4 linked regions of the Saccharomyces cerevisiae S288C genome follow. The protein of the gene in region 4 purifies or fractionates together with the protein of the main gene of each other region. This does not show direct contact. Each region holds a gene or a part of one and is shown on either strand. Other genes may lie near its edges. The genes, in order: CNN1, IML3, AME1 and MCM16.

What was found.
Region 1: the proteins of MCM16 (region 4) and CNN1 purify together in Saccharomyces cerevisiae (affinity purification with mass spectrometry; 3 studies listed by BioGRID, with this or other methods). This does not show direct contact.
Region 2: the proteins of MCM16 (region 4) and IML3 purify together in Saccharomyces cerevisiae (affinity purification with mass spectrometry; 3 studies listed by BioGRID). This does not show direct contact.
Region 3: the proteins of MCM16 (region 4) and AME1 purify together in Saccharomyces cerevisiae (affinity purification with mass spectrometry; 6 studies listed by BioGRID, with this or other methods). This does not show direct contact.

What each region holds. Positions count from the first base shown.
Region 1 is NC_001138.5:242,574-245,763, reverse strand, and holds CNN1 (centromere-binding protein CNN1), read left to right. Parts: upstream 1-1,604; coding exon 1,605-2,690; downstream 2,691-3,190. Other genes in the region: BNA6 (nicotinate-nucleotide diphosphorylase (carboxylating)), read left to right, coding at 598-1,485; MRX20 (Mrx20p), read right to left, coding at 2,765-3,190. UniProt on the Saccharomyces cerevisiae protein: Component of the kinetochore, a multiprotein complex that assembles on centromeric DNA and attaches chromosomes to spindle microtubules, mediating chromosome segregation and sister chromatid segregation during meiosis and mitosis.
Region 2 is NC_001134.8:453,293-456,417, reverse strand, and holds IML3 (Iml3p), read left to right. Parts: upstream 1-1,887; coding exon 1,888-2,625; downstream 2,626-3,125. Other genes in the region: AIM3 (Aim3p), read right to left, coding at 1-1,596. UniProt on the Saccharomyces cerevisiae protein: Component of the kinetochore, a multiprotein complex that assembles on centromeric DNA and attaches chromosomes to spindle microtubules, mediating chromosome segregation and sister chromatid segregation during meiosis and mitosis.
Region 3 is NC_001134.8:645,658-648,787, reverse strand, and holds AME1 (Ame1p), read left to right. Parts: upstream 1-1,655; coding exon 1,656-2,630; downstream 2,631-3,130. Other genes in the region: NGR1 (Ngr1p), read right to left, coding at 1-902; ERV15 (Erv15p), read right to left, coding at 2,810-3,130.
Region 4 is NC_001148.4:655,052-657,844, forward strand, and holds MCM16 (Mcm16p), read left to right. Parts: upstream 1-1,747; coding exon 1,748-2,293; downstream 2,294-2,793. Other genes in the region: THP3 (Thp3p), read right to left, coding at 89-1,501; MSF1 (phenylalanine--tRNA ligase), read left to right, coding at 2,478-2,793. UniProt on the Saccharomyces cerevisiae protein: Component of the kinetochore, a multiprotein complex that assembles on centromeric DNA and attaches chromosomes to spindle microtubules, mediating chromosome segregation and sister chromatid segregation during meiosis and mitosis.

The sequences.
Region 1 (3,190 bases), on a different chromosome or scaffold from region 4:
GTTCTTGTGAGAATAAACTTGTCTACTAATCGCAAATTTTTCAAGATTAACCTTCCGCACCCATTGAGGTACTAAACTGATCTACCCTACCTTTCCTAAATACCTAATGTCAGGTACATAATGCCAGCGACAGCTCAAAATCACGGGATACTAATTATTAAATAGTAGTAGCTTCTTCTCCACGCACAGTTCGATCGAAGGAGCTAATATTCGGCTTGTCATCTTCCATGGCCAGTAATTTTTTTTATTGTCATTTGGGACTAATGAGATGGAAACTAGAATTGTAGTTATACATCCTGAGGTTTCTATCAACTTGTGTGTCACAACGTTTTATATACTTGAATGCGTAGTAGCAAACCCCGGCAAGACGTAAGTTAACTTGTCAAAGGTACAAGCTTGGTTACAAACAATGTGATATTTCGCTCCAGGATATTTTTGCTTTTGGTGACGCCGGTTGGTTGAAGAGCCCCCATTTATCATGACTCCTACCGCAGTTTTCGTATATCTTGGGCCATAAATTCGAAAATTAAAGACACCACTTAATAACGCAACAAAAAGAACGCAATCCTCAGAAAGAACACACACCAAAAAAAAAAAATGCCTGTTTATGAACACTTATTGCCCGTTAATGGAGCATGGAGACAAGACGTCACCAATTGGCTGAGCGAGGACGTTCCTTCTTTTGATTTTGGTGGATATGTTGTTGGTTCCGACCTAAAGGAGGCCAATTTGTACTGTAAGCAGGATGGTATGCTGTGTGGTGTCCCCTTTGCGCAAGAAGTCTTTAATCAGTGCGAATTGCAAGTTGAGTGGTTGTTTAAGGAAGGCTCCTTCTTGGAGCCTTCGAAGAATGACTCTGGTAAGATTGTTGTAGCTAAAATTACTGGGCCCGCTAAAAACATTCTATTAGCTGAAAGAACCGCCTTGAACATCCTTAGTAGAAGTAGTGGAATTGCCACCGCCTCACATAAGATAATCAGTTTGGCGCGTTCGACTGGTTACAAGGGGACCATTGCGGGGACAAGAAAGACTACACCAGGTTTACGTAGATTAGAAAAGTATTCCATGCTTGTAGGTGGCTGCGACACGCACAGATACGACCTTTCCTCTATGGTCATGCTCAAAGATAATCATATTTGGGCTACTGGTTCTATAACAAACGCAGTTAAGAACGCCAGGGCCGTGTGCGGGTTTGCTGTGAAGATCGAAGTGGAGTGTTTGAGTGAAGATGAAGCCACAGAGGCCATTGAAGCTGGTGCAGACGTTATCATGTTGGATAATTTCAAAGGTGACGGTTTGAAAATGTGCGCCCAAAGTCTTAAGAACAAATGGAATGGTAAAAAGCATTTCCTCTTGGAATGTAGTGGAGGCTTGAATTTGGACAACCTCGAGGAGTATTTGTGCGATGACATTGACATTTACAGCACTAGTAGCATTCATCAAGGCACACCAGTGATTGATTTCTCATTGAAACTGGCTCATTGAAAATGCTTAGGCTTCGATTTTTACTTTTTTTTATTTACATATTCTAAATAAGATTAAGAAGCTACGCGTTACCGATTAATGACACACACGACGATTAGTAACGAAATAAGAAATGAATAATGAGCACTCCCAGGAAGGCCGCCGGTAACAACGAGAATACAGAAGTCTCAGAGATCAGAACCCCCTTTCGGGAGAGAGCCCTTGAAGAACAACGTCTCAAGGATGAGGTACTGATCAGAAATACGCCAGGTTATAGAAAACTTTTATCTGCTTCTACTAAGTCTCATGACATCCTCAATAAAGATCCGAACGAAGTACGAAGTTTTTTACAAGACTTAAGCCAAGTGTTAGCACGCAAATCACAAGGCAACGATACAACTACTAATAAAACTCAAGCACGGAATCTAATAGATGAATTAGCGTACGAAGAGAGCCAACCAGAGGAGAATGAGCTTCTTCGGAGCAGAAGTGAGAAACTGACAGATAACAACATTGGCAATGAAACGCAACCTGATTATACTTCCTTATCGCAAACAGTATTTGCAAAATTGCAGGAAAGAGACAAAGGCTTGAAAAGTAGGAAGATTGACCCGATAATAATACAAGATGTTCCCACGACAGGACACGAGGATGAATTGACAGTGCACTCTCCAGATAAAGCTAACAGTATCTCTATGGAAGTTTTGCGCACGTCGCCAAGCATTGGAATGGATCAGGTAGATGAACCGCCAGTACGTGATCCGGTACCAATTTCCATAACGCAACAGGAAGAACCACTATCTGAAGATTTACCAAGCGACGATAAAGAGGAGACAGAAGAAGCAGAAAACGAAGATTATTCGTTTGAAAACACCAGTGACGAAAATTTGGATGATATAGGCAACGATCCTATCCGTTTAAATGTCCCTGCGGTGAGACGTTCTTCTATAAAACCGCTGCAAATAATGGATCTAAAACATCTTACAAGGCAATTTTTGAATGAGAATAGGATAATATTGCCGAAACAAACGTGGTCTACTATACAGGAGGAATCTTTAAATATAATGGATTTCTTGAAACAAAAAATCGGCACGTTACAAAAACAGGAATTGGTAGATTCGTTTATCGATATGGGTATTATCAATAACGTTGATGATATGTTTGAGCTCGCGCACGAATTGCTTCCCTTAGAACTTCAATCAAGAATTGAAAGTTATTTGTTCTAAAAAAGATACCGTAGAGAAAATAATTAAATAGTGGCAATTTATGTACAGAAAAGAGTAAAAGATCCACAAAATTATCAAGACCTGGAAGAGAAGCCTAGTAACAAACTAACCTGTTCATAAACAGTGAACGTTAAGCCTCCTGAAATACCGACTTTCATAAACCTAAAGATGGAGCCCTTCCAGAATGTGGCCATGCCTTCTTGAACAAATATTCTATACATGCAATTTAAGGTATTTTTATATTCAGTTTTGGCATTTTGACTCATCATCCTTGTTTTTACGACGTCAATGGGCTGAGTCATTGCCACGAGTGTAAAAGATGTGGCTAACCCCGTTATTACTGAGGATGCCTTGTCGTTTCTTGCTTGTAACAACCGTTTAAATGCTGTGTATGCAGTAAATTGAATAGAGGTGTTAGCTATCTGCCTAAATATGGTGGCTGTTGTTCCCTGGACGAACGCAGCAGGGCCTCTTGTTTGATACATGTGTTTTACCGCTGG
Region 2 (3,125 bases), on a different chromosome or scaffold from region 4:
AGGTACAGAATCAAGTCCATGTCTGAAAGGTTTTGGAGGTGGCATGATGTTGACATCTACATCATAATGTCCTAAAATGGACGACTTGGAGGTACTTTCATCGTTTTCTTTGTTTCCAGAGTTCCTTTCATTGTCTGCAGTAGTAGTTCTTGAATGCTTTGCTGGCAATGAAGCCGCCGAAGAGGTTGTGTTAGGCTGTATTTTCCCACTTGGCGCAGGTTCCTGGTGTACAACTGCTCCTCTATCCCTATGAGTGGGAGGTGGTGGAAGGCTACTAACGTCTACAGTGGGAATATCGATTTTGGGCTTCGGAGCAGGTGCGTCTGGGTCAAATGGAGTAACTTCAAAATGTGGGGTTGAGCCAGTAGAATCAAGAGAAGGCTCAATCGGATAGATGTTTCCCTGTTGCATTGGTTGCGGTGGCTGTGGCTGCATTCTTACAGGCACAGGCGGTTGTCCACCGACTGGAGGCTGACCTTGCATGGGTGAAGCTCCATAGCTGGGGTTCGAATCTTGCATGTTTGTAGTACTTGACATGGCTTGGCCATAGACAGGCTGAACCGCAGCCATCCCAGAAACTCCTTCCACGTTCATTTGTGGCAACAAAGCGTTGTTTTGGTTCAGAGGCTGCTGTTGCTGTTGCTGTTGCTGTTGCTGTTGCCCAAAGCCATTTGACAGAGGCTCTCCGGGCGCTGGCAAGATCACTTGACCGCGCGGGGGCGGTAATGGTTGCCCTTGTTGTTGCTGTTGTGGTTGTGCAGGTGATGGTAAAACTTGCTGGCCAAACTGTGTCGTGGGCTGCTGCTGTTGGCCCGATGGAAATTGGGATTGTCCGAGATTGGTTGAGCCATGTGATACGTATTGCGGCTGCTGATGACACTGAAGACCGTTCTGGAAAGACGGTGATGGTGCCGGATTACTTGATTGGGTACCATATTGCAGATTTTGCGAGACAAACCCTGTGCTTTGCTGAGAAGCAGAGTTCAGAGATACCTGACTTGGAATTGCATTTTGGGGTTGATTTTGTTGCGGCAGCGACTGGTAGCTGGTTGCATTAGAATTTGACCCATACGGTGGTACTTGCTCTCCATATATAGGCGGCTGCTGTGGCACTACACCTTGTTGCAGCTGCTGTTGCTGTGGCATTACACCTTGTTGCAGCTGCTGTTGTGGATACTGATTATACTGTGGTTGTGCGTATTGTGACTGTTCCGTCGATCCTGCGCCAGGTTGGCCTTGGTATGCACCCTGAAAAGCATAACTGGCCTGACCATTTGGCATTTGCTGTTGCTGTTGTCCTGTATAAGTTTTTTGTCCAGGTTTCAAAGGTGGGGGAGGAAAGGACTTTGGGTCTTTTAAACTTCTTATATCGGTCGGCTTTCTTTCGTACTCCATCTCATCTTCGCTATCATACTCCTCATCACTTGAATTTTTCTTACCACTCTTCCTTTCCCTACGCGCTTTGCTGTTGTTATAGTGCTTCTTACTTGCCTTATACCCTGTCTTGGCAACGTACTTTGTTCCTTGGTAACCATATTTACCGGCGCTCTTCAGCCCTGAAGTGATGGAATCTTTGTTGTTCTCCCAAAATCCCATGCTGGTTGATAACTTGATTTTTTTATGAAAGACCTCTCTCGAACATACGATTATGTAAACTCAAAATGACTTTATCCATATATGTATACACTTAATTTAGATGATGAAATATAAAAAAATAGGGTGGTCCCTGGTTTTCCTGAAGCGCGATTTAGGCAGATCCAGTGGTACTACGGGAAAAAAAAATGCCGACACCGATATGAAATAGACAACAACCATAGTGGGATGATCTGGTCGACTGCATGGTTGATTTGATTGTCTATAGGTATCAACGTACTTCCTTTGGATGGAATGCCTTATACTTGGAAGTTTTTAGGAATCAGCAAGCAACTTTCACTGGAAAATGGTATAGCAAAGTTGAACCAATTGCTAAACCTGGAAGTAGATTTAGACATTCAAACCATTCGAGTACCCAGTGATCCTGATGGTGGTACCGCCGCTGACGAGTATATCCGTTACGAAATGAGGTTGGACATCTCTAATTTAGATGAGGGCACTTACTCTAAGTTCATTTTCTTGGGGAACTCAAAAATGGAGGTGCCGATGTTTTTGTGCTATTGCGGGACAGATAACCGCAATGAAGTGGTATTGCAGTGGCTGAAGGCAGAGTACGGTGTCATTATGTGGCCGATAAAATTTGAACAGAAGACCATGATAAAGTTAGCTGACGCCAGCATTGTGCACGTAACGAAAGAGAACATCGAACAAATTACCTGGTTTAGCTCAAAGTTATATTTTGAACCAGAAACACAAGACAAAAACTTGCGGCAATTCAGTATAGAAATACCGAGAGAAAGCTGTGAGGGTTTGGCTCTTGGCTATGGTAATACTATGCACCCGTATAACGATGCAATTGTACCCTACATTTATAATGAAACGGGGATGGCGGTGGAAAGATTACCGTTGACTTCCGTCATATTGGCAGGGCACACGAAAATAATGAGAGAATCCATTGTCACTTCAACACGAAGTCTCAGGAACAGAGTTCTAGCAGTTGTACTCCAATCGATTCAGTTTACCAGCGAGTAACACTATAAAGAATATTCACCAAGATACAATAAAAAACCACAGCTCTACCTTTTTTGTACATATGAACCTGAAGACCTTCATGAATCATCGTCATTATCAGTAATATCCGGTTCGTCATATCTGCAATGACACCCCACAAAATCCCAGAGACATTACAATTTAGTGTAGAGATCCCGACACAACGGGCCAATGGCTGCTATGAACTAATGTTCACATAGTTTAATTTTGTTGAACTTTCAGTATATATTTGCATAAAATCATATAGACGAGCGCACTTAGCGGAAAGTGCGGCAGTCATACAAGCACGAGGAAAAAGAGGACACGACTCATTTTTCTTTACATGATAAGCCCAACAAAATGAAAACAAATAGAGTTCCTTGTTTTCATTTCATCTAATCAAGAAAAAAAAAGCAATTCTATGGCGATGTAGGAAAATAGACACAATTCGTCTAGCTTTATCTTATTTCATTCTATTTTTCTTATAACACTGCAGCAACTGC
Region 3 (3,130 bases), on a different chromosome or scaffold from region 4:
TTATCCTCCTGATCTAGCTGCTGATGCTGTTGCTGCAATTGTTGTTGCTGTTGTTGTTGTTCCTGTAACTGCAGCATCATATTATTTCTTGGCGTGGCATAAGCGACTCTTAAGGCCCTTCCTTGAAACCATTTCCCACTCATCTCAATCAGTGCCCTGCGGCGCTCATCTTCATCACCGAATCTGACAAATCCAAAACAACGAGATGATCCTGTTAAAGGGTCAGTCATCACGCGGACGGTTTTAACAGATTTGAACCTCGTTTGGAAAAGAGATAACAAATCAGCTTCAGTGGCGGTGGGAGAAAGATCACCAACAAACAAGGAAAATTCTGGGGTAGATGGTATAGAACTTTGTAAAGTAGCTCCAGACGCCCAATTCAATCTGAAAGTCCTTTTGAACGTTGGATTAGTTTGGGAGTTAGTTGTTGGGGAATAAAAATTAGGTAAAGGTGTAGCATTTAATGACAGGGCAAATTTAGCGTCCTTTTGAGTTTCAAATTCGACAAAACAGTATCCGGCATGATGTAATTGAGTAGTGGAAGGATCAATGAAGGATATTCCATTAATATTAATCATTTGGGAATTATCTAACTGATCAGTGCTGTTTGATGCAGATTGCTGGTTTTCAGCATTCTCCTCACTTGTGTTGTTATTACTACTTGAGGTGGAGCTACAAGGAATCAACAAATTTTTTTTGGCTCTAATTAGTTTAACGATAACTTTTTTATCCAGTTTTGACCATATCTCCTCAATCGTGGCCTCGTCGAAGGACGGATCCAAATCTCCCATCCATAACGTTCTTGGGGGTTCAGTAGAAGTTTCCACTGTGGATGAAGGAGGCAATGGAATAATATATGGATTTTCCTGTCTTTGGGAGGCGTTAGCAACGTTAGACATCATTTGTGTAAATTTTTCAGGCAAAAATCGATGGCGAAGGATATGAAAAAGCTGTAATATTTAAAAGATCCAATAATAGTAAAAACAATATAAATCAGAACGAAAGGGAAAGAAAAAAGCCTCCTTTATTAATATTGGAACAGGAAGAGAATATCAAAAAATGAACCGGGAAAAAAATGGAATTACAATATATGACAATATAACAGATTCGATCACGAGAAATCAGAATATTTGGAACTAGGATATAACACGCAGATGGTTTTCCGTACAACTATGAAGAGTCAGAGAAAAAAAAAAATAGTGAATAAGAATGGTAATCTCTTTTATTGCTTCTTTGTCGACTGCGTCTATGTATATTGGTTCTAAAGGGAACAGGGTATGATAACCAGATTTAATTACAAATATGCTTATTTTCACTTTTAATGGAGTGTATGAAGGTGCGAAACTGCTTGCTTGACTAAGATTTGGTCTTGAATACAAGTTTGGGGAACGCTTTTTGGAACGGCACTATCGCCCCTTCACAGCCGTTTGAAGCTGGTAGAAAATATTTTATCGTGTTGTACGGAGAAATTTAATGGTGTATCCAAATATTGTTAAAGGACTAGTAGAAATGATAATGATTGATTTCATTAGCTATTATGGCAAGGGTCAACATCGTTGCAGTATAAGAAGCGATTGCTCTCATTTTTTTACGTGTCCTGTGTTGCTCTGTATTGTCTTGACTATTTGCGTGTTCATTTAAAGAAAAACCTCAGTATGGATAGAGACACTAAATTAGCTTTTAGGCTGAGGGGCAGTCATTCAAGAAGGACAGACGATATAGATGATGATGTTATTGTATTTAAGACGCCAAATGCTGTTTATAGAGAGGAGAACTCACCTATTCAATCTCCTGTTCAACCCATTTTGTCTTCACCAAAACTTGCGAATTCTTTCGAGTTTCCTATTACCACTAATAACGTAAATGCGCAGGACCGTCATGAACATGGGTATCAGCCCTTGGATGCAGAAGACTATCCCATGATCGACTCTGAAAATAAAAGTCTTATAAGCGAATCGCCGCAAAATGTTAGAAATGATGAAGACCTTACTACTCGTTACAATTTCGATGATATACCCATTAGACAGCTATCATCGTCTATCACTTCTGTGACCACAATTGATGTTTTATCTTCTTTATTCATAAACTTATTTGAAAATGATTTGATTCCGCAAGCTTTGAAGGATTTCAATAAAAGTGATGATGATCAATTTAGGAAACTATTGTACAAATTAGATCTGCGACTCTTTCAAACGATATCAGACCAAATGACCAGAGACTTGAAAGACATATTAGATATCAACGTGTCGAATAATGAGCTCTGCTACCAACTGAAGCAGGTACTTGCTCGAAAAGAAGATTTGAACCAGCAGATAATATCGGTACGAAATGAAATTCAAGAGTTGAAAGCCGGTAAAGACTGGCATGACTTACAAAATGAACAAGCCAAACTGAACGACAAAGTGAAGCTAAATAAGAGGCTAAATGATTTGACTTCTACTTTGCTAGGCAAATACGAGGGAGATCGCAAAATTATGAGCCAAGATAGCGAGGACGATTCAATACGGGATGACTCAAATATTCTGGATATTGCACATTTCGTAGACTTGATGGATCCATATAACGGACTTCTGAAAAAGATAAATAAAATTAATGAAAATCTTTCTAACGAATTACAACCAAGTCTATAGGGAATTGGTTCAAAAGATGTATATATATATATATATATATATATATGTATGTATATATGTATATATGTATATATGTATTACTTCCATACTAAGGAAGTTGTGTTATAAGGTCATTTTTATGTGGTAGACATACTTCATAGATATGCACAAATCTCTCTTTTTTTTTCCTGTTGTCGCTATTAGCTTATCAAATTTGCATCATTTTCAAGTAACGCTGTGACCATTCTGTAGAAGTAGAAAAAGAATATGAGAAGGTAAAATCCCAATTTTAAAAAGCATTCAATTTTGCATCTACCCAATTTTCTGAAAATATCCGTGGCGTCCAGTAGATGTGTTTTCTTGTAGACTTTACTTGCGTTATATGCTAGAACAGGGACATTCAAGAGAAATACGAACCAGTACCCGTTAAAAAGAAACAATGCAGAAATGAAAGCTTGTAGAATTGCCTCTGGTACACTCAACCTATTCACCCTCTTACACAGTTCGATTGAGTTGATATA
Region 4 (2,793 bases):
TGTTGTGAATATGTATATATTTATTTAGAAAAAAAAAAAAAAAAAAAAACCAAAATCATATACCTTAGGCATCCCGTTTCCCTCTTCATCATTTTTGTCCCTTTATATCAATTTTTTTAGACTTCATATAATTTTGTATCAACTGTACCCTACATCCCTTGGTATTCAAAATCTTGATATTACTACTTTTGCCATTACTGTCAGTGATTTGTTTGTTTAATATGAACTCCGTCAAGTTTTGCTCATTCAAGAAATTTGTTGTCTCTTCTATACTGTTGAAATTAAACTCACTTTTAACAAAATCTAAATTGACCTGGTTATAACTCTTACAAATTATGGTCAAAAATATCAACTTTTCTAGATTTAAGAATGAATTAATTAGACATTTTTCAAATTTGTGCAGTTTTAGGTAGTTTTTCATGAAGTAGTGATAATTGCCGACTAGTTTCATATCGCTCAACTCAAATATCATTTTGACATGTTCGTCCTCCAAGATTTCCGAAGAGCCATCGTCTATTAACTTAAGTTTTAAATGAGAAATCGACGGATAGTCTTCGGTTAACATCGAATACAAAACAGAATAGCATATAAATTCGGAATAAGATTTTTTTGGTATTGTAGGGTTTTCGAATAACGCCATAATCCTATTTTGACATTGATTAAATTCCCCAAGATCTCCGTTCTCCAAGGCAATACGTGCATGCGTTTGGTACACTTTAATAGTGAAAGAGTTCTCGATCATTTGCACTCTTAGGTCTTGTCTCATTGATTTAAACTGGTCGCAAAGGTAAGTATAAGTGGCTGTTTTAGATTGGTATTTGTCCATTAACAAGCAATACATTTTTTGTAGAATATTTGGGGGTCTGATCAAGTCAGGATTAGGCTCTGAAGTTAGTCTCAGATAAGATTTCTCTAGAGTTTGGCAACGCCCTACCACATGAATCTTTTTGTCATATTGATGAGATTTGCTACTAATGGCATTTAGGTTGGCAAAGTCTTCATTCAAATTATCGTTACTATTCGTCGTCGCTGATGGTCCCTGACTGAATCTTTCTGCCCTTCTCTTTCTTCTCTCTAATTCATCACTGCCACCCATTTCAACTTTCCATCCCGATGCCGAACCTACAGCACCATGCCCTACTATATTACTGTTGCTCATTACATTGCCGGATACCCCGTTAGAAAGGGCTGATGCCTTCTTAGATACTCTTGGTAATTTCTTTTTAATGTTTTTGTTCATACGTTTTTGTAATCCCGGAAGCGGTGTTACCATCAAAGGGTTAGAAACCTGGTTGACGTTGTTCCAAGATAAACGTGGTTCTGGCAAAGGCAGAGAAGGTTGTTGATTGGCAATGAAATTATTATTATTGTATGTCAGAGAAGGGAAAGATCCGGCGTAATCTAGGGGCCTATTCAGGCTTTGGCCGAATGGTCCTCCTTGAGATGAAGCTTCCCTGTCCTCCGTGGTATTGTTAGTAAAGTGACCGTAAGGATTCTGCATAATGTTATTGGAAACTCAACTACTCGCTGCCGAACGGTTCCTACTCCTTGTATTCTATGGTTTCTTTACGAGACAGCCAAATCTCTATTTTTTGTCATGTTCAGTCCTTTTTTACTCAAAAATTCCAAACCGTGAAGGATGATGCATGTTGACAATAAATGATAGCCGTCATCACATACAGTGTGCAATATCTAGATACTTCTAACCATTTCTTCCTGTCGTGGGGAGTTCATACCATTTTGACAGATGACAAACAGTAGTGAAAAACAATGGGAAAGAATCCAGCAATTAGAAAAGGAGCACGTGGAGGTATATAGAGAGTTGTTGATCACGTTGGACAGGTTGTACTTGATTAGAAAACACAATCATGCGGTAATATTAAGCCATACTCAACAGCGCCTCTTGGAAATTAGACACCAACTTCAAATTAATCTTGAAAAGACTGCTCTTCTTATTAGACTGTTGGAGAAACCGGACAATACCAATGTATTATTCACCAAGCTACAAAACCTCTTAGAAGAAAGCAATTCTCTGGACTATGAGCTCTTGCAATCGTTAGGTGCTCAATCTTCATTGCACAAACAGTTGATTGAATCAAGAGCAGAACGCGACGAATTGATGTCAAAACTGATTGAGTTATCGTCGAAGTTTCCCAAACCAACTATACCGCCAGACGACAGTGATACTGCTGGAAAACAGGTTGAGGTAGAAAAGGAAAATGAAACGATACAAGAATTGATGATTGCTTTACAGATACACTCCGGATATACAAACATATCCTACACAATTTGATTTTTATCTTCTAATGCTATTTATATATTCAAATAATTTTAATACTGACAACGCTAATAATAATAGTTACTTAATTAAGGTTTGAATCTTCGAGAAAAAAAAAAGGTAGGAAAATTAAGGAACTACTCACAAATTCAGAGAGAGAGAAGGGATAAAAAAATATCTGCCAATGGAGGTAACTTCAATGTTTCTCAATAGAATGATGAAGACCAGGACTGGTCTTTATCGCTTATATTCAACCCTTAAAGTTCCACATGTAGAAATCAATGGCATAAAATACAAGACCGACCCACAGACTACCAATGTTACAGATTCAATAATAAAGCTTACCGACAGATCATTACATTTGAAAGAATCACATCCAGTAGGCATTCTTCGCGATCTAATTGAAAAGAAATTAAACTCAGTCGACAACACATTTAAGATCTTTAATAATTTCAAGCCCGTGGTAACCACAATGGAAAACTTCGATTCTTTAGGGTTTCCTAAGGATCATCCTG